Linked DNA regions of Anolis sagrei. The protein of the gene in region 3 interacts with the protein of the main gene of each other region in a pairwise test. Links are inferred from orthologs where the notes say so. Each region holds a gene or a part of one and is shown on either strand. Other genes may lie near its edges.

The links.
Region 1: the proteins of WASHC3 (region 3) and synaptonemal complex central element protein 1-like interact in binary tests that used the Homo sapiens proteins (3 or more experiments, as listed by UniProt). The two-hybrid records come from large-scale screens. The link is inferred for Anolis sagrei from reciprocal best matches to the Homo sapiens genes WASHC3 and SYCE1.
Region 2: the proteins of WASHC3 (region 3) and IFT20 interact in binary tests that used the Homo sapiens proteins (3 or more experiments, as listed by UniProt). The two-hybrid records come from large-scale screens. The link is inferred for Anolis sagrei from reciprocal best matches to the Homo sapiens genes WASHC3 and IFT20.
Region 4: the proteins of WASHC3 (region 3) and HSBP1 interact in binary tests that used the Homo sapiens proteins (3 or more experiments, as listed by UniProt). The two-hybrid records come from large-scale screens. The link is inferred for Anolis sagrei from reciprocal best matches to the Homo sapiens genes WASHC3 and HSBP1.

What each region holds. Positions count from the first base shown.
Region 1 is NC_090022.1:193,715,839-193,722,713, forward strand, and holds the start of synaptonemal complex central element protein 1-like, read left to right. Parts: upstream 1-3,850; 5' UTR 3,851-3,912; coding exon 3,913-3,967; intron 3,968-4,828; coding exon 4,829-4,891; intron 4,892-6,310; coding exon 6,311-6,370; intron 6,371-6,875. UniProt on the Homo sapiens protein: Major component of the transverse central element of synaptonemal complexes (SCS), formed between homologous chromosomes during meiotic prophase. Requires SYCP1 in order to be incorporated into the central element.
Region 2 is NC_090031.1:25,687,710-25,694,630, forward strand, and holds the start of IFT20 (intraflagellar transport protein 20 homolog), read right to left. Parts: upstream 3,026-6,921; 5' UTR 2,963-3,025; intron 1-2,962. UniProt on the Homo sapiens protein: Part of intraflagellar transport (IFT) particles involved in ciliary process assembly. May play a role in the trafficking of ciliary membrane proteins from the Golgi complex to the cilium.
Region 3 is NC_090025.1:171,511,943-171,519,007, forward strand, and holds the start of WASHC3 (WASH complex subunit 3), read left to right. Parts: upstream 1-4,046; 5' UTR 4,047-4,169; coding exon 4,170-4,220; intron 4,221-7,065. UniProt on the Homo sapiens protein: Acts as a component of the WASH core complex that functions as a nucleation-promoting factor (NPF) at the surface of endosomes, where it recruits and activates the Arp2/3 complex to induce actin polymerization, playing a key role in the fission of tubules that serve as transport intermediates during endosome sorting.
Region 4 is NC_090028.1:22,965,891-22,973,583, reverse strand, and holds the start of HSBP1 (heat shock factor-binding protein 1), read left to right. Parts: upstream 1-4,687; 5' UTR 4,688-4,749; coding exon 4,750-4,794; intron 4,795-7,693. UniProt on the Homo sapiens protein: Negative regulator of the heat shock response. Negatively affects HSF1 DNA-binding activity. May have a role in the suppression of the activation of the stress response during the aging process.

The DNA.
Region 1 (6,875 bases), on a different chromosome or scaffold from region 3:
TGTCTCTTTTCTTTTTCCATTTGCCAGAACATTTAGCAAAGATCTCCTGCATAGCCAATCAGAACCAATTGTGTTTCACTCATTCATTTCCAGGAATCCTCAGTGGTTGGCTTGCAGTAAAAAGAGAGATGTTGTCCGATTGCTTTAGTCTGCTAATAAGAGGGGAAAATAGTCCCAAAGAAAGGTCTTTCTAAAAACATGTCACCATAAAATTGACATTCAATCTTGTTGAACAGGAGGGCATTTTTGCAGTCTCCACTTGTGTTATATTACTTGTTTGCCATTGTTGTGTGTCTTCGTATTGCTTCTTACTTATGGTGACTCAAAGGGTAAACTTATCATGGGTTTTTCTTGGTAAGATTTGTTCGGAGGAGGTTTGCCATTGCCTTCCTCTGAGAGAGTATGGTATGCGTACAGCTGGTTTCCATGCTGAGTGGGGATTCAGACTGTGTTCTTCCTGAGTCGAACACAGAAACCACTGCATCACAGAAACCACTGTAAGTACTCATACTGAATCAATCATCTGCTATTTATTTAATTGTCAGCACTCACTTAAGTGAATAAATGTTGATGTCCTACAAAAACAATTACTAGCATACCTTCTGGAGGGGGGTGTTATTAATCCACCTGTTTATACAGTCCAGTGTTACTTATCTGCTGCCTAATCAATCAGCTGCTCTAAAGCTGCACTGCCTGGCTATCTGAGTGACGTTCAGTAAAGAACGTCTTTCAGATAACCACATGAGATATTATTGACAAGTCTTGCTTGTGTTGACTCTTAGGTTGGGTCAAGTAATAACTTCTTCAACATATTTGAATGAACTTTGGTTTTTAATTTGAGACTTGTCCAATTCAAGTTGCATTCCTTGAAAACCACTGTTTATTAAAATCTGTTGAAGAAGTTATTACTTGCCCCAAGCTAAGAGTCAACACAGGCAAGACTTGTCAATAATACCGCATGTGAGCGCTCCAGCTGGAGGTCAGCTGTGACCAGCAGTACTGCAGAATTTGAAGAGGCACGAATGGAGGGCGAAAGAGAGAAATGTGCCAAAAGGGAGGCGCGTCAAGCCAATTCCAACTGGGACCGCCTTCCACCTGGAAACCAGTGCCCTCACTGTGGGAGACGATGCAAATCAAGAATAAGACTCCATAGTCACCTACGGATCCACCCTGGAGGATTATCCTACTCTGACAATGAGAGATCGCCTAAGTAAGTAAGGCTCCTTAGGTATTACTGACTTGCAACTCACATCACTCTTAGCTGGCATGGCCAGTGGTGAAGGATTGTGGGAGATGCAATATCAATACACTTGTAGACCCACAACTGCTCATTTCTGTTTAATAGGAAGATAATAATAATAATAATAATAATAATAATAATAATAATAATAATATTTTTAAAAACCCTTTATTTATTATCCACCCTATCTTCCCGGGAGGACTAAGGGTGGTTTTCAACAAAAGATGGCAAACATTCATTGAGCCAAGACATCAACTAGAGTTCTAGTGATTCTCCTCCTCCTCTGTTTTTTCCAATAATAATAATAATAATAATAATAATAATAATAGCTCCCATTTTTTACTTGTATTAGCAATAAAATAAAATATCTGCCTGCTCCAGGTTATCCTGCTACCATATTTGAGCAATGTATGTATATGCTGTAGCTCCCAAATGTATAATAAACCCTTAGCAATTTATAGATCTAGATTTTTATTGGTTTTTTACATTTCCCCCAAAACAGCATTTAATACTAGAGAAGTGTCCTGAAAATCACAAGATAAACTTTGAGATGGGGCTAGCAATGTGCAAGGATAATTTAAACACGTGGCATAAAACTGTAATTGAAGACTGAGTTTTTCATATTGATTGAATCATTGTCACAGGTTGACAATGTATGCAGAACAACCGAAACTTAGTCCTTTTGTATTTTCATATGAGCAACACAAGCAGAAGGAAAACATAAATTTTACTCTTCTGCAGCAGAATTCAAAAACCAGTAACATTAACACAAACTTGCAGTATTGCATCAATACAGTCACAGTCCCTCTGGAGTAACACACTCAAGTATAGTCCTTACACTTAACTCATGCAATTTTTCCCACAGAAAATATGTATCTTCCAATTTTCCTTTCTTGGACATGGAGACAAGCAGAAAAGATAAACTTGCCTGCATCAAATAAGCCAGGAGCGAACGCAGGGTAAGATCAGGAGCAAACATTCAGTAAGCCCAAAGTTGAATTACAAACACTTCCCAGTTATACCCCTTCGGGAGTGGCCTAAATTGGCTGACCTTAAAAATCCCATTCACCCAAGCTGTATATTGTAATTCACCAAGGTAAGTTTTTTTTTCTATTAACACACACACATACCTGGTAGTGATCTCACTAAAACCTACTTTAACAGTGAGTCTGTTAAAGGCTCCTCCCTAAACTACAAATCCCAGAATTCTGCAGGAATTCTTATTATCATGGGGGAAAGGGTCTCTAATGAAACTTTATCACCAATCCTTGTATCCACGAGCCACATTTTTCAAGATCCAACTATCACAGGGACAGAAAGTGAGGTGAAATCTTCTGAACGGGAACAGACAACAAAACAAATGTCATAAGGGTGTTAACGCTTCCCTATGCTATCCAAAGATAGAGAGATAAATAGATCCTGGATTTACACTTTAAAAACGTGCCAAGTTTACATACAAATTCAACTTAAGAACAAACCTACAGAACCTAACTTGAGGGCTACTTGTATATACTAGCTTTGGATAGCATAGGAAAGGGTGAACATCCCTGTGGTGTTCGTTTTGCTGTCTGTGCCCCTGATCAGAAGATTTCACCGCCTTTTCTGTCCCTCTCATAATTGAATTTGGCTTGTTGTGGAAACAAGGCTTGGGGATAAAGCTTCAGTGAAGGAACCTTTTCCCCGTGATAACTCTTCCTGAGGGAACGTTGGGAAGATTTCTCTCACTTCCTGTTGTCTCACCTCCATTCTTAACTAGGAGTATGCAAGTTGTATGTAAGTCAGATGTATGTAACTCAGGGATTACTTGTCTCCATGTTGAGACAATGGCTATGTATCACTGAGGGGATAAACAGGGGCCGAGCGACATGTCCTCCAGTGAATAAGTGCTGCCAAAAGCCCACGGCTCCCCTTCCTTCCTTCCTTCCTTCCTTCTTTCCTTCCTTTTTCCCTTCCTTCCTTCCTTTTTCTTTCTTTCTTTCCTTCTTTCTTAATTTCTTTCCTTCCTTTTTTCCTTCCTTCCTTTTTTCTTTCCTCCCGCCCTTCCTTTTTTCCTTCCTTTTTTCTTCCCTCTCGCCCTTCTTTTTCCTTCCTTCCTTTCCCCTCTTCCTTCTTTCCTCCCTCCCTCCCTCCCTTATTTCTTTCCTCCCTCCCTCCCTCCCTTCCTTCCTTCGTTTTTCCCCTTCCTTCCTTTCCCCCCACCTTTCTTTTTCCTTCCTTCCTTCCTTCCTTCCTTCCTTCCTTCCTTCCTTCCTTCCGTCCGTCCTTCCTTCCGTCCTTCCTTCTTTCTTTCCTTCCATCCTTCCCTTTTTCCATCCTCCCTCCCTCCCTCCCTGCCTTTCTTCCTTCCTTCCATCCATCTTTCCTTCCTTCCCTTTTTCCTCCCCCCTCTTCCTTTTTCCTTCCTTCCCTCCATCAGTCTTTCCTTCTATCCTTCCCTTTTTCCTCCCCCCTCTTCCTTTTTCCTTCCTTCCTTCCATCAGTCTTTCTTTCTTTCCTTCGATCTTTCTTTTTTTCCTTCCTTCCTTCCTTCCTTCCTTCCTTCCTTTTTCCTCCCTCCCTCCCTCCCTCCCTCCCTCCTTGGAGGAGCCCTGCCTCGGCTGCTCTCTGAAGAATGCTGAGAAGCGACAGTTGGAAAAAGGCGGGAAAACAGCAAAGAGGGTTGGGGATGGAAAATGGCTGGAGCTGAAGGAGAAAATCGTAGCATCACTATGGAGGGAAATGATCCCGGTGAGACTGTACAACTGGAGAAATACACAATAGAAACCTAAATACACATCATGGGAACTAGAGAAGGTATTCAGAACTGGTGGCCATATTCTCCTCCTTGGGCCCCGTCACCTGACCAGGAATTTAAAAGCTAGCAACTCCAATATAAGAGCTAAGACTTCACAGCCAGTAGGAATTGTGGGAGTTGAAGTCCAAAACACCTGGAGGGCCAAAGTTTGTCCATGCCTGAACTAGAAGGACATTATTCATTTTCACGAAAATTATAATTAAGAAGCAGGTGAACACATGTAGAAAGAGAGTTTCATATTTTGGGCACTGCCAAGTCGCTCCGGGGTACAGAAACAACTGTAGAAAACAGAGGCCCTGAAGGTGCCCTCAGTTGCTCGGGTCCTTGGAATTTAATAAAAGTATTATTGTTATGTTCATTCTTTACAGTGTGGTTCTCAGCCTCATAGCAATATGAAGTAGACCACAATTTCCAATATTACAGATGGATTGCACTGAGAAGGGCGAGCCCCCGGTGGCGCAGTGGGTTAAACTCCTGTGCCGGCAGGACTGAAGACCGACAGGTCGCAGGTTCGAATCCAGGGAGAGGCGGATGAGCTCCCTCTATCAGCTCCAGCTCCTCATGCGGGGACATGAGAGAAGCCTCCCACAAGGATGATAAAAACATCAAATCATCCAGGCGTCCCCTGGGCAACGTCCTTGCAGATGGCCAATTCTCTCACACCAGAAGCTACTTGCTCCTGTATAAGCAAAGTTATACAAAGCCTATACGATCCCTAGATTTCAATGTGTCTGGTTGAAGAAAAAATTGGGTGACAACAATAAATTCTGTTTCTGCTTTTTCTCTCTCTCCAGATCCCTGGGACTTTTCATCAAAAATGGAGGAGATACTGTCACTTGTGAAACAAATGCAGAATGGTATTTTGAACTTAGAAAGATGACGAGAGTAATGTTCAGGTGTCGGATCGTAAAGGAATGGGAAGAAGTGTTGTCCTTCATGCCAATCCCTTACTATCTGCACAGCCCATGTACACTTTTAACACTGGCTGAAATAAAATAACCGGCCACCACATCTGGGGGAAACAGGCAGCAGGCTAGCTTATGTGGCACACAGAGGATGCCATATGGTACAGGACTCTCTCCTAATGCATTGTGATGGCTTCTCTGCTTCAGCATCTGTCCCCCAAAACAGCCATCTCACTCTGCCATCTGCCTAATCATATAGTCCTACTAGAGCATCTGCCCTTGCCATGTATGCCTGTACACTGGTAAGAGGCAACTCATTTAGCCCAAGAGACTCATACAAACATCATGTTGCATCATTTATCTTGTGCTTCACGGACAACATACACCACTTTGTGCATGGTGAATACATATATAATGACTTGAAAATTGTTTAGAAGTCAGCAGTGGCTAATGGGTCCCATGTGGCTCTTAGAAAATTAATGTTTGGCTTCTGAACAGAGAGCAAGAAAGCACAGATTTGAGCAGAAATCAGTAGAAGGGAAAGTGGTACGTTGTTTAGGGGCTGTGGCAAAAATATAATGGAATGGAGGCTGAGGTCAGATGAAAGTTCTTGGAAGAAAAATTAGTAGTTGATCTAGGGAGAAACAAGAAGTATGGTATAAAAATTATTAGAGTTTTATTTATATTGCTTGTGATAAGGATTCTGAGTTAGATACTGGCCCTTGATAAATAACATACAATTATATGTGAGGGCAAGATCAGAGTATTTTTCTATTAGCCATTATAGTTGTCTTAGGAAGTAGGTGCTATAAGGTAAAGAGTTTCATCACAATGTTGGGAGGACAGAGCTTTAGAGTCCAGGCACTCTGTGGCTAGCACTGCTCATGCTAGCCTGGTACCTTCATGTGTGGTGAAGGATGTCATTACATTGCAAGTGCCAAAGATTTTACTGGGTTATTGTAGGTTTTTTTGGGCTATAGCCATGTTCTAGAGGCATTCCCTCCTTACGTTTCGCCTGCATCTATGGCAAGCATCCTCACTACCTCTGAGGATGCTTGCCATAGATGCAGGCAAAACGTCAGGAGAGAATGCCTCTAGAATATGGCCATGTAGCCCAAATAAACCTACAACAACCCAGTGATTCCGGCCATGAAAGCCTTAGACTATACAAAGATGTTACTATCTGTTTGATTGGCCGTTGTACCTGGAAGGAAGATGTGTGTCATTGTTCCTTTCACCTCAGTTGGCAAAGTGACTTTGACATTGAGATTGGTACAAACTGTAACTTTTAATGTATTTTAATGTATTGCTTTTTCCTTAACCATAGCATGTATAATTCAGTTTTCATTTGATTTCTACTTGATTTTATAGTCGAGAGTTTGGAGCCAAGAATTGAAGACCTAGTTAAAAGGATCAATACATTGCAGCAAGGTAAAAGAAAAAGGCAGGGATTAACTATATTATTTACATCTCAAAATTAAGCCTTTGCTAAGTAAGCTATATTTGTAGCAGTGGTTACCAGGTCTGCACATCGCGATGGCTCTTGCAGTGCAAAAGCTGAATGTTCCCAGATGTGGTTTCCAAAAAGAGAGTAATCTGCAATCCTTATGCCATTCCCCCATTTTAAAGAAAGAAGCAAAACCAACATTTTGAGGTATCTCTTCTTACTCCTGTTCCATTCCTGAATGCATAGTTTCCTCCCATCTCCTCCTACACACATATGTTATAACTCAATGAGGATCATATTTGTAATTAATATTTTTCTAGTCTCTGTTCCCTTATTCAAATTATACTGAATAGACTTTATAGTAAGGATAGATAAAGCATAGCCCTGGATGGCCCTCCTGCATGATTGTACATAATATCCCCAGTCAATTTTTTCAGATGTGGACTTCTTCAGACTTTTTCAGATTGCAACTTCTGTGGGGGAAGGAGC
Region 2 (6,921 bases), on a different chromosome or scaffold from region 3:
ATTTAATAACACAGAGAATTTAAAATGGTGAATAATGCGTGCAGAGCCCAGTAAGGTGGCCTTCTGCAGCTGGCATATGAAATTTTGTCAGCGCAGATTATGTTTAAGTGCAAGCCAAGGTCTGTAGGCACTGCACCCAGTGTGCCAGTCACCACTGTGACCACCTTTAATAATAATAATAATAATAATAATAATAATAATTATTATTATTATTATTATTATGAACTGGACACACGCAGAGCCGGATGATTTGGAAAGAAAAACAAGAAAGCTGATGACAATCCACTCCTCATGACACCCGCGTAGTGATGTTGACAGATTTTACCTGCCCAGAAAATCAGGAGGCAGAGAGAGGGCTTCTGCAAGGGAAACAAATAGTAGAAGAAGAGAAACACACACTGGCAGATGATGTGAAAGGCAGTCAAGAACCAACATTGAGGAAAGTTAGTAGTAAACTGCTTCAAGTGCAAAAGACAAAGAGGGAATACTGTAAAAACACAATCCAGAGCAGAAGAGAAAACTGGCAAAAGAAGGCTCTCCATGCACAATTCCTGGCATAAATTGAGAGCCAAATTGACAAAGTAAAATCATGGCTGTGGCTCACAAATGGAACTCTGAAAAAGGAGACAAAGGAGGGCCTGATTCTGGCAGCCCAAGAACAAGCCGTTAGAACCAAAGCCATCAAAGCCAGAATTGAAAAGTTGACGACAGATCCCAAGTGTAGACTCTGCAAGGAAGCAGATGGAACAATCGATCCCATCCTCAGCTGCTGCAAGATCACGCAGATAGACTACAAGCAGAGGAACAACACCGTTGCTCAGATGATCCATTGGAACTTGTGCCACAAACACCATCTTCCTGTGACAAAGAACTGGTGGGATCACAAGCCGGAAAAAGTTACAGAGAATGAACACATCAAACGCCTCTGGGACTTCTGGATTCAGACAGACAGAGTTTTGGAGCATAATACTCCTGACTTCACGATCATGTTAAAAAACAAAGTATGGATTGTCGATGTTGCAATCCCAGGCGACAGCAGGATTGAAGGGAAACAACTGGAAAAGCTGATACGATATTAAGATTTAAAGATCGAACTGCAAAGACTCTGGCACAAGCCAGTCAAGGTGGTCCCAGTTGTGATCGGCACACTGGGTGCAGTGCCTAAAGACCTTGGCCTGCACTTAAACACAATCGGCGCTGACAAAATTACCATCTGCTATCTGCAGACGGCCACCTTACTGGGATCTACACGCATTATTCACCGATACATCACACAGTCCTAGACACTTGGGAAGTGCCCGACGTGTGATCCAATTCAACAATTACAATATACCTTGTAATATACTTACAAGGTATATATTACATATTGTATGTAATATATACCTTGTAAGCCGCTCTGAGTCTGCTGTGGACTCATCTTGTTGTGTTTCAAATAATGATGATGATGATGACGATGATGATAATAACCAGACATCACGATTGTGGAAAAGAAAATGTTATTGATGTCGCCATACCAGGTGACAGTCGCATTGAGGAAAAACAACACGAAAAATTCAGCCACTATCAAGACCTCAAAATCAAACTGCAAAGGCTCTGGCATAAACCAGTACAGGTGGTCCCAGTGGTCATTGGCGCACTGGGTGCCATGCCAAAAGATCTCAGCAGGCACCCAGTGCGCCGATGACCACTGGGACCACCTGGAGTGGTTTATGCCAGAGCCTTTGCAGTTCGATTTTGAGGTCTTGATAGCGACAAAATCACGATCTGTCAACTGCAAAAGGCCACCTGACTTGGATCTGCGCGCATCATTTGAAAATACATCACACAGTCCTAGATGCGTGGGAAGTGTTTGGTTTGTGATTTTGTGATACGAAATCCAGCACATATATCTCATTTGCTGTGACATACTGTGGTTTGGTGTCAGTATAATAATAATAATAATTCATACCCCACCTTAATAATAATAATTTATAATTTATTATTATCTTTATTTATACCCCACCTTTCTCCCCATGGGAGAAATGTTATAATGTAATGCAATGTAATAATAATATGATATTATAATTATATATTTATATTACATCATCATCATTTAATAACTTATTAATCGCCCTCCATCCGAGAATGCTCCATTCTAATATTACTAATAATATTACGATATAGTGGTATGGTGCAATATAGCAATGTTCAATGCTGATATTGTACTATGCTAATAATATAATATATTGTATGTATGTATATATATACATATATATCTTATAAGCCAATCTGAGTCCCCTTCGGGGTGAGAAGGGCGGCATATAAATGTCGTAAATAAATAAATAAATAAATGGATCTGGGTTGAAGTTGGCCCACATTCACACCTGGAACAACTTTAAAAACTGGCAAGAATTGATAGAGGACGATGGGAATTGGAGTCGATTCAAACCTGTCATGGTCACCCATAATAGATCTGGACCAAACTTGGTACGCATGCCCTCCTTTACCCAACATAATGGGTTCTTCCCTACAGTGAGTGCCTACTGCCCTCAATAGGGATGTCAGACTGCATCACCCATCATCCCCAGATGCCCTTGTGCCTTGGGAAAGGTAGAATTGAGCTTTGTGGCCTCCCTTTCCCAGAATAAATGGATCCTTCTCTATAGAGGAGGGGTTCCTAACCTTTGGTCCTCTAGGCCTTTTGGACTTCAGCTCCCACAATTCCTAACAGCTGCTAAGTTGGCTAGGATACCTGGGAGTTGAAGTCCAAAACACCTGGAGGGCCCAAGGTTGGGAACCCCTGCTCTATAGAGACATTGGACTGCACCACCCATCAGCCCAGACCCCTAGAGCCTTGGGAAAGGCTGGAATGGGCTTTGTGATCTCCTGTTCAAAGCCTGGATGGGTCCTTCCCGGCAACCAAGGCCTCTTGTATTCAATTGGGGGCTTTGGACTGCACCCTCCACCATCCCCAGGCTCTTACCTGCCCTCCAGGCCCCCTCCCCGCGCTGCCACGGCGACAGCATCAGCCCCGCCCCATTGGAACGTACCATTCGTCCAATGGGGGGAGGAGACAGAGAATCCAAAGGAGCGCTTTGCATTGTGGGAAGTGTAGTTCCCATTGGAAGAGTCCAAATCAGAAAGAAGGGGAAGGGGGATCGAGAGGCCCCCTTTGTCCCAATGAATCATAGAATCATAGAATCAAAGAGTTGGAAGAGACCTCATGGGCCATCCAGTCCAACCCCCTGCCAAGAAGCAGGAATATTGCATTCAAATCACCCCTGACAAATGGCCATCCAGCCTCTGCTTAAAAGCTTCCAATGAAGGAGCCTCCACCACACTCCGGGGCAGAGAGTTCCACTGCTGAACGGCTCTCACAGTCAGGAAGTTTTTCCTAATGTTCAGATGAAGCTTTGGAGTAGAAGTGCACAGGATTTTTCCTATAATAATAATAATAATAATAATAAATTAATAATAATGGGTTGTTGTAGGTTTTTCAGGCTGTCTGGCCATGTTCCAGAAGCATTCCCTCCTGACGTTTCGCCCACTTTTATGGTAGGCATCCTCAGAGGTTGTGAGGTCTGGGTTGTTGTAGGTTTTTTCGGGTCTAGAGGCATACTCTCCTGACGTTTCGCCTCAATCTATGGCAGGCCTATTGGAACTAGGAAAAAGGGCTTATATATCTGTGGAATGACCAGGGTGGGACAAAGGACTCTTGTCTGCTGGAGCTAGGTGTGAATGTTTCAACTGACCACCTTGATTAGCATATAATGGCCTGACAGTGCCTGGGGGAATCTTTTGTTGAGAGGTGATTAAATGTCCTTGTTCGTTTCCTCTCTGTTGTTGTGCTGTTGTAATTTTAGAGTTTTTTTTAATACTAGTAGCCAGATTTTGTTCATTTTCATTGTTTCCTCCTTTCTGATGAAATTGTCCACATGCTTGTGTATTTCAATGGCTTCTGTGTGTAATCTGACATGGTGGTTGTGAGAGTGGTCCAGCATTTCTGTGCTCTGTTTCACCATTGCCTCACCACCAGCTACTTTCAGTGGGACAATGAGTTCTATGAACAGAAAGATGGAGTAGCTATGGGGAGCCCCCATAGCTAATTTGTACATGGAACACTTTGGAAAACAAGCCCTGAAAACAGCAACAAAAAAGCCCACTATATTGAGACCCTATATTCAAGGGTCTGGAGAACAAGCCCTATGAGGAGCGGCTTAAGGAGCTGGGCATGTTTAGCCTGAAGAAGAGAAGGCTGAGAGGAGATATGATAGCCATGTATAAATATGTGAGAGGAAGCCACAGGGAGGAGGGAGCAAACTTGTTTTCTGCTTCCTTGGAGACTAGGATGCGGAACAATGGCTTCAAACTACAAGAGAGGAGATTCCATCTGAACATGAGGAAGACCTTCCTGACTGTGAGAGCCGTTCAGCAGTGGAACTCTCTGCCCCGGAGTGTGGTGGAGGCTCCTTCTTTGGAAGCTTTTAAACAGACGCTGGATGGCCATCTGTCAGGGGTGATTTGAATGCAATATTCCTGCTTCTTGGCAGAATGGGGGTTGGACTGGATGGCCCATGAGGGCTCTTCCCACTCTTTGATTCTATGATTCTATGACTCCCCCCTGGGCACACAGAGGACTGGGCGACTTGGAAGGCGCTGAACAGACTGCGCTCTGGCACCACAAGATGCAGAGCCAATCTTAAGAAATGGGGCTACAAAGTGGAATCCACGACATGCGAGTGCGGAGAAGAGCAAACCACTGACCACCTGCTGCAATGCACCCTGAACCCTGCTGCATGCACAATGGAGGACCTTCTTGCAGCAACACCAGAGGCACTCCAAGTGGCCAGATACTGGTCAAAGGACATTTAATCAACTACCAAGTTTGCAAAATTTGGGTTTTTTTTATCTGTTTGTTTGTTTTGTTCTGTTAGAAATGTAATACAATGGTACGGTTGCTGATGACACAATAAATAAATAAAAAACCTCTCAACAAAAGATTCTCCCAGGCACTAAGAAGCCACACCTAAAAACTGTCAGGCCTTCAAATGCTAATCAAGCTGGCCAATGGCAACATTCACACTTGCCTCCAACAGACAAAAGTTCTTTCTCCCACCCTGGACATCATTCCACAGATATATAAACCCATTTTTCCTAGTTTCCAACAGCCCTCACAACCTCTGAGGATGCCTACCATAGATGTGAGCGAAACGTCAGGAGAGAATGCTTCTGGAACATGGTCAGACATCCCGAAAAACCTACAACAACCCAGTGATTCCGGCTATGAAAGCCTTCGACAACACATTATTATTATTATTATTATTATTATTATTATTAATATGAAACATAATAAAATAAGTATATAAATATAATATAAAAATAAATATATAAATTATATATATATATATATATATATAATATGAAACATTAAAAAATAAAAATCATACAATAAATATGAAACATAATAAAAATACATTCCATTATTGCTTTGAAAAATTTTAAGAAATAATAATGAAGCCCTTTGGTATAATTTTCCATTAAAATATTGTAAAACCATTAAAATATTGTAAAAGTATTGTATTTCCCATTCAAATATTGTAAAATATTTGAGGATCCCTCAAAGACATCAAAGTGTCTGTGCGTATTTTTCGTGCTTTTAAATATATATATATAACATGTCTTTATTAATGTTTGAAAAGAAAAGCAGAGGGCCGATAAAGTGGATTTGAATGGCGCTCGATAGCTCTGCCTTCGACTCCTTTTGCCTGGCTGGGGAGGAAGCGAGGGAACGAGGCGGATGACGTCATACGTAACGTCATCCTCGTCCGTTTATGATTGCGTAAGGAGCGCTGCGACGCGATGGCATGCCGGGATTTGTAGGCGGAAGTTTCTGACTGGCGAGGGCGGCCTGTTGCTGGAGGCTAGAGCTTCGAGCTCCGCCCTTCGGTTGGGCTGGGGACGCGGAGGGCGCGCCGACCCGCTCGGGAGACGGTTCAGTTCAGCCCGGGGAGTTTCGGAGGCCTCGGAGAGCGACGGCCGCGACCCCTTCGGCGTTTTGAGGAAGGAAAGAGGCGGCGGGTGAGGAGGACGCCCAAAGCGAGGCGGGCGGGCCCCGGAGAGCGGGAGGGAGGGGAGGCATTAAAGGGTGGGATTGATTTTGTGTTTGGTGGGTCAGTGCCTGGAAAGGAAGTGGAGCGGGCGGGCGGGGATAATTGATTTTGGAGCCCTGTTCCATTTTCAGGCAAGGTTAGAAAAGGAGAAGAGGAAGGGTATATTAGAGGTTCTTTAATAGGGACAGGTGGACGTTCAAGAGGGAGGACTTTAGATGAATGCACAACAGGTAGAACTTTAGGTGCATGTCCAGCAGGTAGACCTTTACATGAATGCACAACAGGCAGAACTTTAAGTGCATGTCCCAACAGATAGAGCTTAGGTGGATGGTGAGCTTTGGGTGGATGTCCAACAGGTAGAACATTAGGTGAATGTACTAAAGGTAGAGCTTTAGGTGGATGTACCAATGATAGAGCTTAGGTGGATGGCGAGCTTTGGGTGAATGTCCAACAGGCAGAGCTTTGGGTGAATGTACCAAAGGTAGAGCTTTAGGTGCATGTCCAACAGGTAGAACTTTAGGTGGACGTCCAACAGGTAGACCTTTAGATGAATGCACAAGAGGTAGAACTTTAGGTGGACGTCCAACAGGTAGACCTTTAGATGAATGCACAAGAGGTAGAACTTTAGGTGGACATCCAACAGGTAGAGCTTTAGATGAATGCACAACAGGTAGAGCTTCGTGTGGATGTCCCAAAGGTGGATGGTGAGCATTGGGTGAATGCCCAACAGGTAGAATTTAGGTGCATGTCCAACCCGTAGAATTTTGGGTGGCTGTTCAATAGGTAGAGCTTTAGGTGGATGTACCAATGATAGAGCTTAGGTGGATGGCGA
Region 3 (7,065 bases):
TGAAGAAAGTGCATACAAAATTTCAGAACCAGTTTAAGACCCAGATGGTGATTACAAAAGCCACACAGAACTGATGCACATTAAGGGGTTTTTCATGTGCTTTTGTGGCAGTTTGTTGCCTGGCCTCAGCAGTTGGAAGCTAGCTGTGTGTATGTGCTTGCATATAATTCATTTATTTATATCCCGTGTAGCGAAATGTCTAGGTTTTGGGGTATGTTTATTAATATTGGGATATATGGGCTGGTTAGTTAGGGGGTGGCTAGAAGCCCAGGCCATGGTGACATAACTCCCCAGGCAAGAGAGCAAGGGCCGGAGCCAACTGCCACTGAAAAAAAAGAATGTTGATTTGAAAAGGGTCAGTTGGTGGCTGGATGAGCCCAAAGGATGGTTGCTTATAATTATGTGGAACTAGACCAAACAGTTTAAGCTCTAACAGGTAGTCAGGGAAAGAAAGGCTGCACTAAGTAGTGAGCCAGGTATTTGTTCTCCAGTGTGGAGTAGTTAAGAGTAAAAGCCAAATCTGAAGTAACAGGAGTGAGACTGAGAATAGTTTATAAGTCTAAACTGCAGATACTAAAGAGACAGAAGAAAATCTGTTGTTAAAAGTGTAACAGTTATATGTTTTTGGAAGAGTCAAGAATTAAGTGTAACAATAATAAGATAATATGTAACCGCCAAGCATTGTGAACCTGAGAAATCTTCAAACAAATGTTTATATTCAGTTCAGATTCTGAGAATTCAGGTTTATTTATTTAAGAGAAGATTACTCAAAAGAAAAGAAGTTGCAGATTTTGTGAAGTCAAAGATAAACTGGTTGCATTGGATTACACATACTAAAGTGAAATAAACAGGTGTCTTAGAAATATCCCTCTCATATAAGCCTCACCCCCAAATAAACAAAGCCTCATCCTCTACATCAGTGTTTCTCAACCTTCCTAATGCTGCGACCCCTTAATACTGTTCCTTATGTTGTGGTGACCCCCAACCATGACATTATTTTCGTTGTTACTTCACAACTGTAATTGTGCTCCTATTATGAATCCTAATGTAAACATCCGATATGCAGGATATATTTGCATTCACGGGACCAAACTGGGCACAAATATACAATAATACAACCAAATTTGAATACTGGTGGGATTGTGGAGAGGATTGATTTTGTCATTTGGGAGTTGTAGTTGCTGGGATAGTTCACCTCCAATCAAAGAGCATTCTGAAATCCACCAACAACAGAATTGAACCAGATTTGGAACACACACCTCCCATGAACAACAGAAAATATGGGAAGGGTTTGCTGGGCATTGACCTTGAGTTTTGGAGTTGTAGTTCATCTACATCTAGAGAGCACTGTGCACTCAAACAATGATGGATCTGGACCAAACTTGACACAAATACTCAATATGCCCAAATGTGAATACTGGTGGAGTTTGGGGAATATAGACCTTTACATTTGGGAGTTGTAGTTGTTGGGATTTATAGTTCACCTACAATCAGAGTATTCTGTTCTCCACCAAGGACAGAATTGGGCCAAACTTCCCACACAGAACTCCCATGACCAACAGAAAATACTATGTTTTCTAATGGTTTTTGGCGACCCCTCTGACACTCTCTCGCGACCCACAGAGGGGTCCCGACCCCCAGGTTGAGAAACACTGCTCTACATAATTGGTGGCAGCTTCATGAGTTACAGAGATACTTTCATTTCATCCCACTTTATCTCTCCAGATGGGAGACTCAAAGCAACTCACAATCAAAAATATTACAAAAATATACAAAAATAAAACTGTATCATTATATATTGTTTTATATTATCAGTAGTAATTATAATTAATATATTGTTATTATATGCCTTCCCAGAACAAGGACTCCCAAGCAATATGTTCCAAATGCACTTTATGAGAGAGTTAGTACTGTCTGCACGCCCACCTATCTTTAAAATATCCAACCTATTTCCCTGGACATGCCCAGCATTTTAAAATTTTAATTCTTACATTTGGCCCTACCACAGGTTTTTAATTGTGTCGTGTCATTATTGTATTGTTTTGCTTTGTTATGAGTTATTTATTGTTGTATTGTTGTTGTGTTTTGTGATGTATTTGGGCTTGGCCTCTTGTAAGCCGCACCGAGTCCTGCGGGAAATGGTCACGGGGTATAAATAAAGGTTTATTATTATTATTATTATTATTATTATTATTATTACTACTATATTACAATATATGATATTGTATTAGGAGTATATTACATTGTATTATATTATTATATAAAATATATTATATTATTAGCATTGCACATTAGTATTATATACTGCCATATGGTACTATACCACTATACTGCAATATTATTAGTATACCACAATATATATAATATGTGCTGTCGCATGCTGGGCCTGAAATAATGTCTGTTTACAGGACGTGCCTTCTGTATGCTCAACGGGACGCCGGGGTGCCTCAGCTGAAGGGTCCCTTAAATTTCCCAACACAAAGTTCTATTGAGGTTATAGACATCAATGCTAGGCTGTAGATCTGCCAAGCTGAAAGGTGTCCTTTAGTTTCTACACGAAGGCTGTAGGAACTGTCCTGTTGCCCCAGCAAAGGCTGGCTGTATTCCTTCAGCAAAAGCTGTGGAACCTTTCCTTTTCCCCCAGCAGAGCTGTGGATCTATTTCTTTACTCCCCAGCAAAAGCTGTGGAACCTTTCTTTTTCCCCCAGCAAAGCTGTGAGAAGTGAAGCTTTTGTGCAGGTGGGAAAAAGAATCCCACACGTTCTGCTTTTAGGCTTCAAACAGTGAGACTGAACAAAATCCCCCCTTCCCTCCAAAACCATGGGAAAAGGGGCGGGTCTAAAGATTAACAATGATTTTTCAGGTTGCTGGCCCTATGATTGCAACCTGAGGGAAGCTACCTTATTGCAAAATGCATGGCTTAAATAAATTCATGCAAACTAGCAGTGCAAGAAAAGGAATTCAAATCTCCTGGCACTGTTGTGCCAGCACATAATACACTACCATTATTATACTATTAGTATTATATATTGTTCTCTCTCAATCTCACACACACATATACATACGCCCGTATGTATACACACAAATTTATTTATTTATTTGCTTTACTTCTATACCGCCTTTCTCAGCCGAAATGGCGACTCAAGGCGGTTTACATAGTAAAGGTTAACACAACAACATCAAAAAGGCAATTAAAAACACATTATACAAACATATCAAGTCAAAAACAATCATTATCATAGACGTCTGCATTAGTTGTTCACACACTATTTGTTGTTCACACACAGACAGGCACACACTGAAATATAATTATGGGTAACTATATGCATATAGTACATGTTGTTGTTCATTCGTTCAGTTGTCTCCGACTCTTCGTGACCTCATGGACCAGCCCACGCCAGAGCTCCCTGTCGGCCGTCACCACCCCCAGCTCCTTCAAGGTCAGTCCAGTCACTTCAAGGATGCCATCCATCCATCTTGCCCTTGGTCGGCCCCTCTTCCTTTTTCCTTCCACTTTCCCCAGCATAATAGTCTTCTCTAGGCTTTGCTGCATATAGTACATAATTATGTTTAATTGGGATATACTGTGTGTATGTGTACACACACACACACACACAAATTTGGAATATTCAAACACAAAAATATATTTCCAAAGAATACAAATATTCACTGACATCCCCATATAAGTTCATATACAGATAGGTACACACTGAAATATAATTAAAGTAACTCAGGCCCCTTCCACACAGCTGAATAAAATCCCACATTTTCTGCTTTGGACTGGAATATATGGCAGTGTGGACTCAGATAACCCAGTTCAAAGCAGATACTGTGGGATTTTCTGCCTTGATATTCTGGGTTATGTGGACATGCCCTCAGGCACAACTCCAGAGCGCGTTCTGCAGATCACCTCAAGGAAAACGAGGCAGATGGAATCCATATGTATTTGAAAACTACTTTCCTAGAGACTTCCGGGTGTCAGAACTACAGTCCCCATGATGCAACGCGGCTCAGAGAGCGGCGGCTTCCGGTCTCGCAGCCCAAGCGCCTGAAATGCCGATGAGCCGGGTCAGGGTGGAGGGTGATCTCGCGATCGCTTCCGGGAAGAGGCTCTTTCGCTTCTCGAGGCGCTCTTCCGCTGGAGGAGGGGCCGATGAGCGCCTGCGGGGATGGACGAGGACGGGCTGCCACTCGTGGGTTCGGGCATCGACCTCACCAAGGTACCGGCGGCTGCAGGGCCCTGGTTGGCCTCTCAAGCCAGGCCTCGCCTTCCCCAGTGATGGATGGGCTCCGGGACTAAGCCAGGCAGGGTCTCAACCAGGCCTGGGCCAACTGGGGCCTTCCAGTAGGCTGTTAGGAATTGTGGGAGTTGAAGTCCAAAACACCTGGGGGGCCCAAGTTAGGCCAAGGCCTGGTCTATCATGTCAGTTGCCCTTCCTGTCTTTCTCTTTCTCCACTTGTTCATATTCCTTTCCTTCAGAGTCACTTTGATCTCATGTTTGTGTATTGTTTACAAGTGTTATGGCAGAAACACAATGCCCCATATTTATTGCAGGCTGCATTTTATCTTGTTGATACAGGCCTGAGCAAACTTCGGCCCTCCAGGTGTTTTGGACTTGAACTCCCACAATTTCTAACATCCTACTGGAGGGCCCAAGTTGGCCCAGGCCTGCTCTATCAAGTCAGTTTCCCTTCCCTTCTTTCTCCTTCTCATATTCCTTTCTTTCAGAGTCACATTGATCTTATGTTTGTGTATTGTTTACAAGTGTTATGGCAGAAATACAATGCCCCATATTTATTACAGGCTGCAGTTTATCTTGTCGATACAGGCCTGAGCAAACTTGGGCCCTCCAGGTGTTTTGGACTTCAACTCCCACAATTTCTAACATCCTACTGAAGGGCCCAAGTTGTCCCAGGCCTGGTCTATCAAGTCAATTTCCCTTCCCGTCTTTCTCCTTCTCATATTCCTTTCTTTCAGAGTCACATTGATCTCATGTTTGTGTATTGTTTACAAGTGTTATGGCAGAAACACAATGCCCCATGTTTATTGTAGGCTGCATTTTATCTTGTTGATATAGGCCTGAGCAAACTTGGGCCCTCCAGGTGTTTTGGACTTCAACTCCCACAATTTCTAACATCCTACTGGAGGGCCCAAGTTGGCCCAGGCCTGGTCTATCAAGTCAGTTTCCCTTCCCTTCTTTCTCCTCCTCATATTCCTTTATTTCAGAGTCACATTGATCTCATGTGTGTGTATTGTTTACAAGTGTTGTGGCAGAAACACAATGCCCCATATTTTATTGCAGGCTGCATTTTATCTTGTAGGTACAGGCATGGGCAAACTGGGGACCTCAAGAGAGATATTGACAAGCTGGAATGTGTCCAGAGGAGGGCGACTAAAATGATCAAGGGTCTGGAGAACAAGCCCTATGAGGAGCGGCTTAAGGAGCTGGGCATGTTTAGCCTGAAGAAGAAAAGGCTGCGAGGAGATATGATAGCTATGTATAAATATGTGAGAGGAAGACACAGGGAGGAGGGAGCAAGCTTGTTTTGTGCTTCCTTGGAGACTAGGACGTGGACAATGGCTTCAAACTACAAGAGAAGAAATTCCATCTGAACACGAGGAAGAACTTCCTGACTGTGAGAGCTGTTCAGCAGTGGAACTCTCTGCCCCAGAGTGTGGTGGAGGCTCCTTCTTTGGAAGCTTTTAAACAGAGGCTGGATGGCCATCTGTCAGGGGTGATTTGATTGCAGCATTCCTGCTTCTTGGCAGGGGGTTGGACTGGATGGCCCATGAGGTCTCTTCCAACTCTTTGATTCTATGATTCTAGGTGTTTTGGATTTCAGCTCCCACAATTCCTAACAGCCAGTAGGAAGTTGAAGTCTAAAACACCTAGAGAGCCCAAGTTTGCTATGTTATTACAGGTTTAGCATTCATTATCCTGAAATCCCAAATACTCCAAAGTCTTGTCGAAGGCTTTCATGGCTGGAATCACTGGGTTGTATGTGCTTGGCTAAAAACTGTCAGGCCATCAAATGCTAATCAAGGTGGCCAATTTGAACATTCACATCTACCTCCAACAGACAAGAGTTTTTTCTCCCACCCTGGACCTTCCATAGATATATAAACCCAATGTTCCTAGTTTCCAACAAACCTCACAACCTCTGAGGATGCTTTCCACAGATGCAGGCAAAATGTCAGGAGAGAACATGGCCATACAGCCCGAAAAACCTACAACAATCCACTCCAAAGTCCTTCGGCTGGGAAAGTGACACCTTTCCTTTCATAGAATTTGGGCCATCCAGTCCAACCCCCTGCCAAGAAGCAGGAAAATTGCATTCAAAGCACCCCTCACAGATGGCCATCCAGCCCCTGTTTGAAAGCTTCCAAAGAAGGAGCCTCCACCACACTTCGGGGCAGAGAGTTCCACTGCTGAACGGCTCTCACAGTCAGGAAGTTCTTCCTCATGTTCTGATGGAATCTCCTTTCTTGTAGTTTGAAGCCATTGTTCCGCTTCCTAGTCTCCAGGGCAGCAGAAAACAAGCTTGCTCCCACCTCCCTATGACTTCCTCAAATATTTATACATGGCTATCATGTCTCCTCTCAGCCTTCTCTTCTTCAGGCTAAACATTCCTGAAGAAGATGGTTCTTGATGGTTCAGTGTACACAAACTGTTTCATGCACCAAATTATTAAAAAAAAATGCATAAAATTACCTTCAGAATATGTGTATATAAAATATAAATGCATTTCTGTTTATACTTGGATTTGGTCTGAAAGGTGTTTCCTTCTGCTATGTGTGCATATACAAATAATAATAATAACTTTATTTGTTTCCCACCCCATCTCCCCAGAGGGACTTGGGGCGGCTTACAAGACAACAACTATACAAACACGAGCAGCATAGAATGTACAACAAAAATCAAAACAGTACAAATGTTTGCCAAAAGAAATAAAAAAAACCATAACAATTGAAGTTTAACATAAAACATGTAAAATCAAAATAAAATAAGCAGTAAGCATAGCCAAAGATTTAAAGTTTGAAACCATAGTATCCAAGTACAGGCA
Region 4 (7,693 bases), on a different chromosome or scaffold from region 3:
CTGACTGTGAGAGCCGTTCAGCAGTGGAACTCTTTGCCCCAGAGTGTGGTGGAGGCTCCTTCTTTGGAGGCTTTTAAACAGAGGCTGGATGGCCATCTGTCAGGGGTGATTTGAATGCAATATTCCTGCTTTTTGGCAGGGGGTTGGACTGGATGGCCCATTAGGTCTCTTCCAACTCTTTGATTGTATGATTCTTTAGGGGTCACTTTCAAATCTATGATACTATATCTGTGTGTGTGTGTGTGTGAATCAAATCTATCTATCTATCCTATCTATCTATATCTATGGCTGGATGGCTCTTTGTCAGGAGGACTTTGATTACGTTTCTTGCCCTGATGAAGGGAGTTGGTTTGGATGGCCTTAAGTATTTTCTTTTGGTCATGGGGGTTCTGTGTGGGAAGTTTGCCCCGATTCAGAATGCCCTTTAATTATAGGTGAACTATAAATCCCAGCAACTACAACTCATAATTTTTGAGTGATGGTCACTCCTTGTGTTGTGAGACGTTTTGTTGCCAACTTTGGTGTGATTTCGTTCATTGGTTCTTTTATTTTTAAGGTACTTATTATGCAGAGCATTTTATATATATACTAGCGGTCCCCTGCCACACGTTGCTGTGGCCCAGTCTGGTTGTCTGGAAAATAACATAATGAGAAAGTGCTGGCTTCTAATATATGTAATTTTTTTATGCTTGTGGGTAACCAGTATTTCTTGCTGTTTCTTTGCCAGTGTTAATGTGGAGATTGTCTGGTTTGCCTCCTCTGGAACAGGCAACATATCATAGTCCTTCTTTAGAGGTCCCTTTCAGATCTTTGATACTGCATCTGTCATATACATATTTATTTATTTATTTATTTGCTTTATTTGTATACCGCATTTTTCAGCCTATATAGGCGACTCAATGCGGTTTACATGGTACAGGTTATCACAACAATGTCAATGCAATTAAAACACAACAATTACAACAACAAAATCAATAGCATCAATCAACAACAATTAACAAATCAAACATCGCCTCTGTGAAATCAGATCCGTTCTCATAATCCTTGTGCCATTCCTATGTTCCATTTACCGTCTTCCTATGTTCGGTTGCACTGTTTAACCAAACGCTTGTTCATAAAGCCAAGTCTTGACCTTTCTCCGAAACACCAGCAACGAAGGTGCCTGTCTGATGTCTGCTGGTAAGGCATTCCATAGCCGAGGGGCCACCACTGAGAAGGCCCTGTCTCTCGTCCCCGCCAAACGCGCCTGCGATGCAGGCGGGACCGAGAGCAGGGCCTCCCCAGACTATCTTAATGTTCTAGTCGGTTCATAGGTGGAGATGCGTTCGGAGAGGTAAGTGGGGCCAGAACCGTTTAGGGCTTTATAGGCTACAAGGCAGCACCTTGAATTGTGCCCGTGTGTGTGTGTGTGTGAATGGCTGGATGGCCCTTTGTCAGGAGGGCTTTGATTATGTTTTCTTGCCCTGGTGAAGGGAGTTGGACTGGATGGCCTTAAGGCAGCATTTCTCAATCTGGGAAGTCAAGACCCGGGGGGGGGGGGGGGTCACCAAGGGGGTGTCAGAACGGTCACCAAAGACCACCGGAAAACACAGTATTTTCTGTTGGTCATGGGGATTCTGTGTGGGATGTCTGGCCCAATTCCATTGTTGGTGGGGTTTGGAATACTCCTTGATTGTAGGTGAAGTATAAATCCCAGTAAGTTCAACTCCTAAATGTCAAGGTCTATGTCCCCCAAACTCCATCTGTGTTCATATTTGGTGTATTGAATGCTTGTGCCAAGTTTGGTCCAGATCCATCATTGTTTGAGTCCACAGTGCTCTCAGGATGTAGGTGAACTACAAGTCCCAAACTCAAGGTCAATGCTCACCAAACCCTTCTACTGTTTTCTGTTGGTCATGGGAGTTCTGTGTGCCAAGTTTGGTTGAATTCCATTGTTGGTGGAGTTCAGAATATTCTTTGATTCTAGGTGAACTATAAATCCCAGTAACTAGAACTCCCAAATGTCAAGGTCTATTTTCCCCAAAGTCCACCAGTATTACATTTGGGCATATTGAGTATTTGTGGCCAGTTTGGTCCACATCCATCATTGTTTGAATCTATAGTGCTCTCTGGATGTAGGTGAACTACAACTCCCAAACTCAAGGTCAATGCTCACCAAACCCTTCCAGTATTTTCTGTTGGTCATGAGAGTTCTGTGTGCCAAGTTTGGTTCAATTCCATTGTTGGTGGAGTTCAGAATGTTCATTGAATGTAGGTGAACTACAAATCCCAGCAACACAAATCCCATGGCCATGCAGTCCTGCCAGTGGCCACGGGACCTTGAAGACGTCTACGGACAACGCCGGCTTTTTGGCTTAGAAATGGAAGCGAGCACCAGAGTCGGACACAAGTCTATTCACATTTGCATGCTTTTAAACTGCTAGGTTGGCAGAAGCTGGGACTAACAGCGGGAGCTCACCCCGCTCCTCGGATTCAAACCGCTGACCTTTCAGTCAGCAAGTTCAGCAGCTCAGCAGTTTAACCTGCTCATACACATCACCTTTTGGTACTGCTCCATTATCCGAGCGGAGATCACTAGGGGGAGCTAGAGAGGGTCCATTTTACAAAGGGGGGTACAGCAAAATCGTGGAGGGCCACCTCACCTAGCAACAGCCAATCTGATGACATCATGGAGGGCCACTGCACCTAGTAACCGTCCCTTCCTTCCCTTGTCCTCACAGGCGCCACCTTTCTTTCCCAGTGACACCCTAGAGCAGTGGTTCTCAACTTTCCTGATTCTGCGACCCCTTAATATAGTTCCTAACGCTGTGGTGACCCCTTCAACCATAAAATTATTTTTGTTGCTGCTACTTCATAACTGTAATTTTGCTACTGTTATGAATCGCCATGTAAATATCTGATATGCAGGATGGATTTTCATTCACTGGACCCGATACTCCCAAATTTGAATACTAATGGGGTTTGTGGTGATGTGTGTGGGGGGTGGGGGGTGTTGATTTTGTCATTTGGGAGTTGTAGTTGCTGGGATTTATAGTTAACCCACATTCAAAGAGCATTCTGAACTCCACTAACGATGGAGTTGAACCCAACTTGGCATACAGAACTCCCCACGGCCAACAGAAAATACTGGAAGGGTTTGTTGGGCATTGACCTTGAGTTTGGGAGTTGTAGTTCACCTACGTCCAGAGAGCAATGTGGACTCAAACAGTGATGAATCTGGACCAAACTTGTCACGAGTACTCAATATGCCCAAATGTCAACACTGGTGGCATTTGGGGAAAAATAGACCTTGACATTTGGGAGTTGTTGTTGCTTGGCTTTATAGTTCATCTACAATCAAAGAGCCTTCTGAATGAGAGAATTGGGCCAAACTTCCCACACAGAACAGAAAATTCTGTGCTTTCTGATGGTCTTTGGCGACTCCTCTGACACCCCCTCGCGACCCCCCCAGAGGTCCTGACCCCCAGGTTGAGAAACGCTGCCCTAGAGGGTCACTCCATCCAGCAACAGCCAATCCAGAGACACCGCGGGGGACACGTCACCAAGCAACAGCTCCTCTTGTCTTTTCTCCTCGTTCACGCGTCCCTTTCCTAGTGACACCCCCGAGGGCCACTTCACCCAGGAAGAACTAGTCCCGTGAAAACTCAGCGGGCCACTCCACCTAACAACAGCCAATCCAGTGACATTACGGAGGGCCACTGCACCTAGTAGCCATCCCTTCCTTCCCTTCTTCTCACAGGCGCCACCTTCCTTTCCCAGTGACACCCTAGAGGGTCACTCCACCCAGCAACAGGCAATCCAGAGACACCGCGGGTGGTGACACTTCATCTAGCAACAGCTCCTCTTGCTTATTCTCCTCGTTCACACGTCATTTTCCTAGTGACACCCCTGAGGGCAACTTCAGCCAGGAACAGCTACTCCCGTGACATCTCAGAGGGCCACTCCACCTAGCAACGGCCTTTTTTGTTGTGACGGATAGAGAGAGACAGGCATGCATTGGGTTCTGCAGATGCAGGTAGATTTGCCTTGCTTAGAATCATAGAATCAAAGAGTTGGAAGAGACCTCATGGGCCATCCAGTCCAACCCCCTGCCAAGAAGCAGGAATATTGCATTCAAAGCACCCCTGACAGATGGCCATCCAGCCTCTGTTTAAAAGCTTCCAAAGAAGGAGCCTCCACCACACTCCGGGGCAGAGAGTTCCACTGCTGAACAGCTCTCTCAGTCAGGAAGTTCTTCTTCCTAATGTTCAGATGGAATCTCGCTCCCTCCTCCCTGTGGCTTCCTCTCACATATTTATACATGGCTATCATATCTCCTCTCGGCCTTCTCTTTTACAGGCTAAATATGCCCAGCTCCTTAAGCCGCTCCTCATAGGGCTTGTTCTCTAGACCCTTGATCATTTTAGTCACCCTCCTCTGGACACATTCCAGCTTGTCAATATCTCTCTAGAATTGTGGTGCCCAGAATTGGACACAATATTCCAGGTGTGGTCTAACCAAAGCAGAATAGAGCATGGGTAGCATGACTTCCCTGGATCTAGACACTAGGCTCCTCTTGATGCAAGCCAAAATCCCATTGGCTTTTTTTGCCACCACATCACATTGTTGGCTCATGTTTAACTTCCCAGAATGCACCACCGCTCTCTTCCTCCCTCCCCCCTCCCTCCCCCTTTCCCGGATCTCGCGAGATCTCCCGAGAGCGAGGCGGGGACTGCGGGGCAGAGGCCGGAAGCGAGAGAGGACAGTGCCATGGCGGAGGCAGACTCCAAGACCGTGCAGGAACTCACCGCTGTGGTGAGAAGGGGGAGGGGGTCTCGGGGTTGCCATGGGGACGGGACGGGCAGGCCGAATGGGTGGGAGGGAGGGAGGGTGGGGGCGGGGCCACCCGGTCGCCACGGAGACCTGGTTGCTATGGAGACACAGGCAGGAACGGAGGCCTCTGGTCGTCTGGGAGTATGTAGGCCTCTTGGGATCCCTATCTATCTATCTATCTCTATCTATCTATCTATCTATCTATCTATCCATCTATGGATATATCTGGGTTGTTGTAGGTTTTTTTGGGCTATATGGCCATGTTCTAGAGGCATTCTCTCCTGACGTTTCGCCTGCATCTATGGCAAGCATCCTCAGAGGTAGTGAGGTCTGTTGGAACTAGGAAAAAGGATTTATATATCTGTGGAAAGACCAGGGTGGGACAAAGGACTCTTGCCTGCTGGAGCTAGGTGCGAATGTTTCAACTGACCACCTTGATTAGCATTTGATTGCCTGGCAGTGCCTGGGGGAATCTTTTGTTGAGAGGTGATTTGATGTGCCTGATTGTTTACTCTCTGTAGTTTTTTTTCTGATTTTGAGTTTTTTAATACTGGTAGCCTACAACACTGGAGAAATTACACTGTTTAGCCGGTATTGCACCACCTGACATCCGCCAGGAAGTAGCAGCCAATAGTGAAAGGACCAAGGAAGAGACATCTCTACCTCATCCCCAGTTTGGGTATCAGCCAGCACGTCAACGACTTCAATCTAGAAATAGTTTTCTAAGATCTACAGAGACACTCGCTGGAACACCTCAGCAAGCAAGAGTCCAAAAGTGGCAGGCTCAAACCCGGAACCTCAACCAATGGCTGATACCAAATGAGAGACTCCCCCCTGGGCACACAGAAGACTGGGCAACTTGGAAGGTGCTGAACAGACTGCGCTCTGGCACCACGAGATGCAGAGCCAACCTTCAGAAACGGGGCTACAAAGTGGAATCCTCGGCATGTGAGTGTGGAGAGGAGCAAACCACTGACCACCTGCTGCAATGCACCCTGAGCCCTGCCACATGCACAATGGAGGACCTCCTTGCGGCAACACCAGAAGCACTCCAAGTGGCCAAAGGACATTTAATCAACTACCAAACTCACAAATTCTGTATTTTGTCTGCTTGTTTGCTTTGTTCTGTTAGAAATGTAATATAATTGACTGGTTGCCCTGACACGACAAATAAATAAATCCTCAGAGGTAGTAAGGTCTGTTGGAACTAGGAAAATGGGTTTATATATCTGTGGAATGACCTGGTGGGACAAAGGACTCTTGTCTGCTGGAGCTAGGTGTGAATGTTTCAACTGATCACCCAGATTAGCATTTGATTGCCTGGCAGTGCCTGGGGCAAACTTTTGTTGAGAGGTGATTAGATGTCCTTGTTTGTTTCCTCTCTGTTGTTTTGCTGTTGTAATTTTAGAGTTTTTTAATACTGGTAGCCAGATTTTGTTCATTTTCATGGTCTCCTCCTTTCTGTTGAAATTGTCCACATGCTTGTGGATTTCAATGGCTTCTCTGTGTAGTCTGACATGTTGGTTGTGAGAGTGGTCCAGCACTTCTGTGTTCTCAAATAATATGCTGTGTCCAGGTTGGTTCATCAGGTGTTCTGCTATGGCTGACTTCTCTGGTTGAAGTAGTCTGTAGTGCCTTTCATGTTCCTTGATTCGTGTTTGGGCAATTCTGCTGCGTTTGGTGGTCCCTATGTAGACTTGTCCACAGCTGCATAGAATCATAGAATCAAAGAGTTGGAAGAGACCTCATGGGTCATCCAGTCCAACCCCCTGCCAAGAAGCAGGAATATTGCATTCAAATCACCCCTGACAGATGGCCATGGTATACGGTAGACTCCTGCAGAAGTGAGAAGATCCCTCTTGTCCTTTGCTGAATGGAGCATTTGTTGGATTTTCTTGGTGGGTCTGTAGATAGTTTGTATGTTGTGTTTGCTGATCAGCATCCCTATGCGGTCAGTGGTTCCCTTGACATCTAATCACCTCTCAACAAAAGTTTGCTCCAGGCACTGCCAGGTAATCAAATGCTAATCAAGGTGATCAGTTGAAACATTCACACCTAGCTCCAGCAGGCAAGAGTCCTTTGTCTCACCCTGGTCATTCCACAGATATATAAACCCATATTCCTAGTTCCAACAGACCTCACTACCTCTGAGGATGCTTGCCATAGATGCAGGCGAAACGTCAGGAGAAAATGCCTCTAGAACATGGCCATATAGCCCGGAAAAACCTACAACAACCCAGTGATTCCGGCCATGAAAGCCTTCGACAATAAATGGATATATCTCTCTGTGTTCCCCCAAACTTCACCAGAACATATGGGGGGTCTGGGTACCAAGTTTGGTCCAGGTCCATCATTTGTGGCAGTCGCAGTGGTCTTGTAAGAGACTACAAATCCTATTATCCATAGTCCACCCTCCCCAAACCTAAAGTGGGCCATGCGGTGTCTGTTTCCCAAGTTTGGTCCAGGCCCATCATTGGTCACAGAAGTCTCTGAAAGTGGGTGAAGATATTGCAAATCCCATCATCCATGGTCTGGCTTTTCCCAAACCTCATCAGGATGTGAGATGGGTCATGGGGGGTCTGTGCAACAAGTTTGGTCCATGTCCATCATTTGTGACAGTCGCAGTGGTCTTGTAAGAGAGTTGCAGGACTACAAATCCTACTTTCCGTAGTCCACCTTCCCCCAAACCCGACCAGGACGTAAAGTGGGTCATAGGGTTCAGCGTCCCAAGCTTGGTTCATATCCATTGTTGGTGATAGTTACAGTGCTGTCTGAAAGTTGGGCTCAATTTGGAAAATAGACATACGAAAACTGACTTTGAATATAAAGATAGATACATATATTCGTGTGGGTACCATTAATTTTATGATGGTGAAACTGA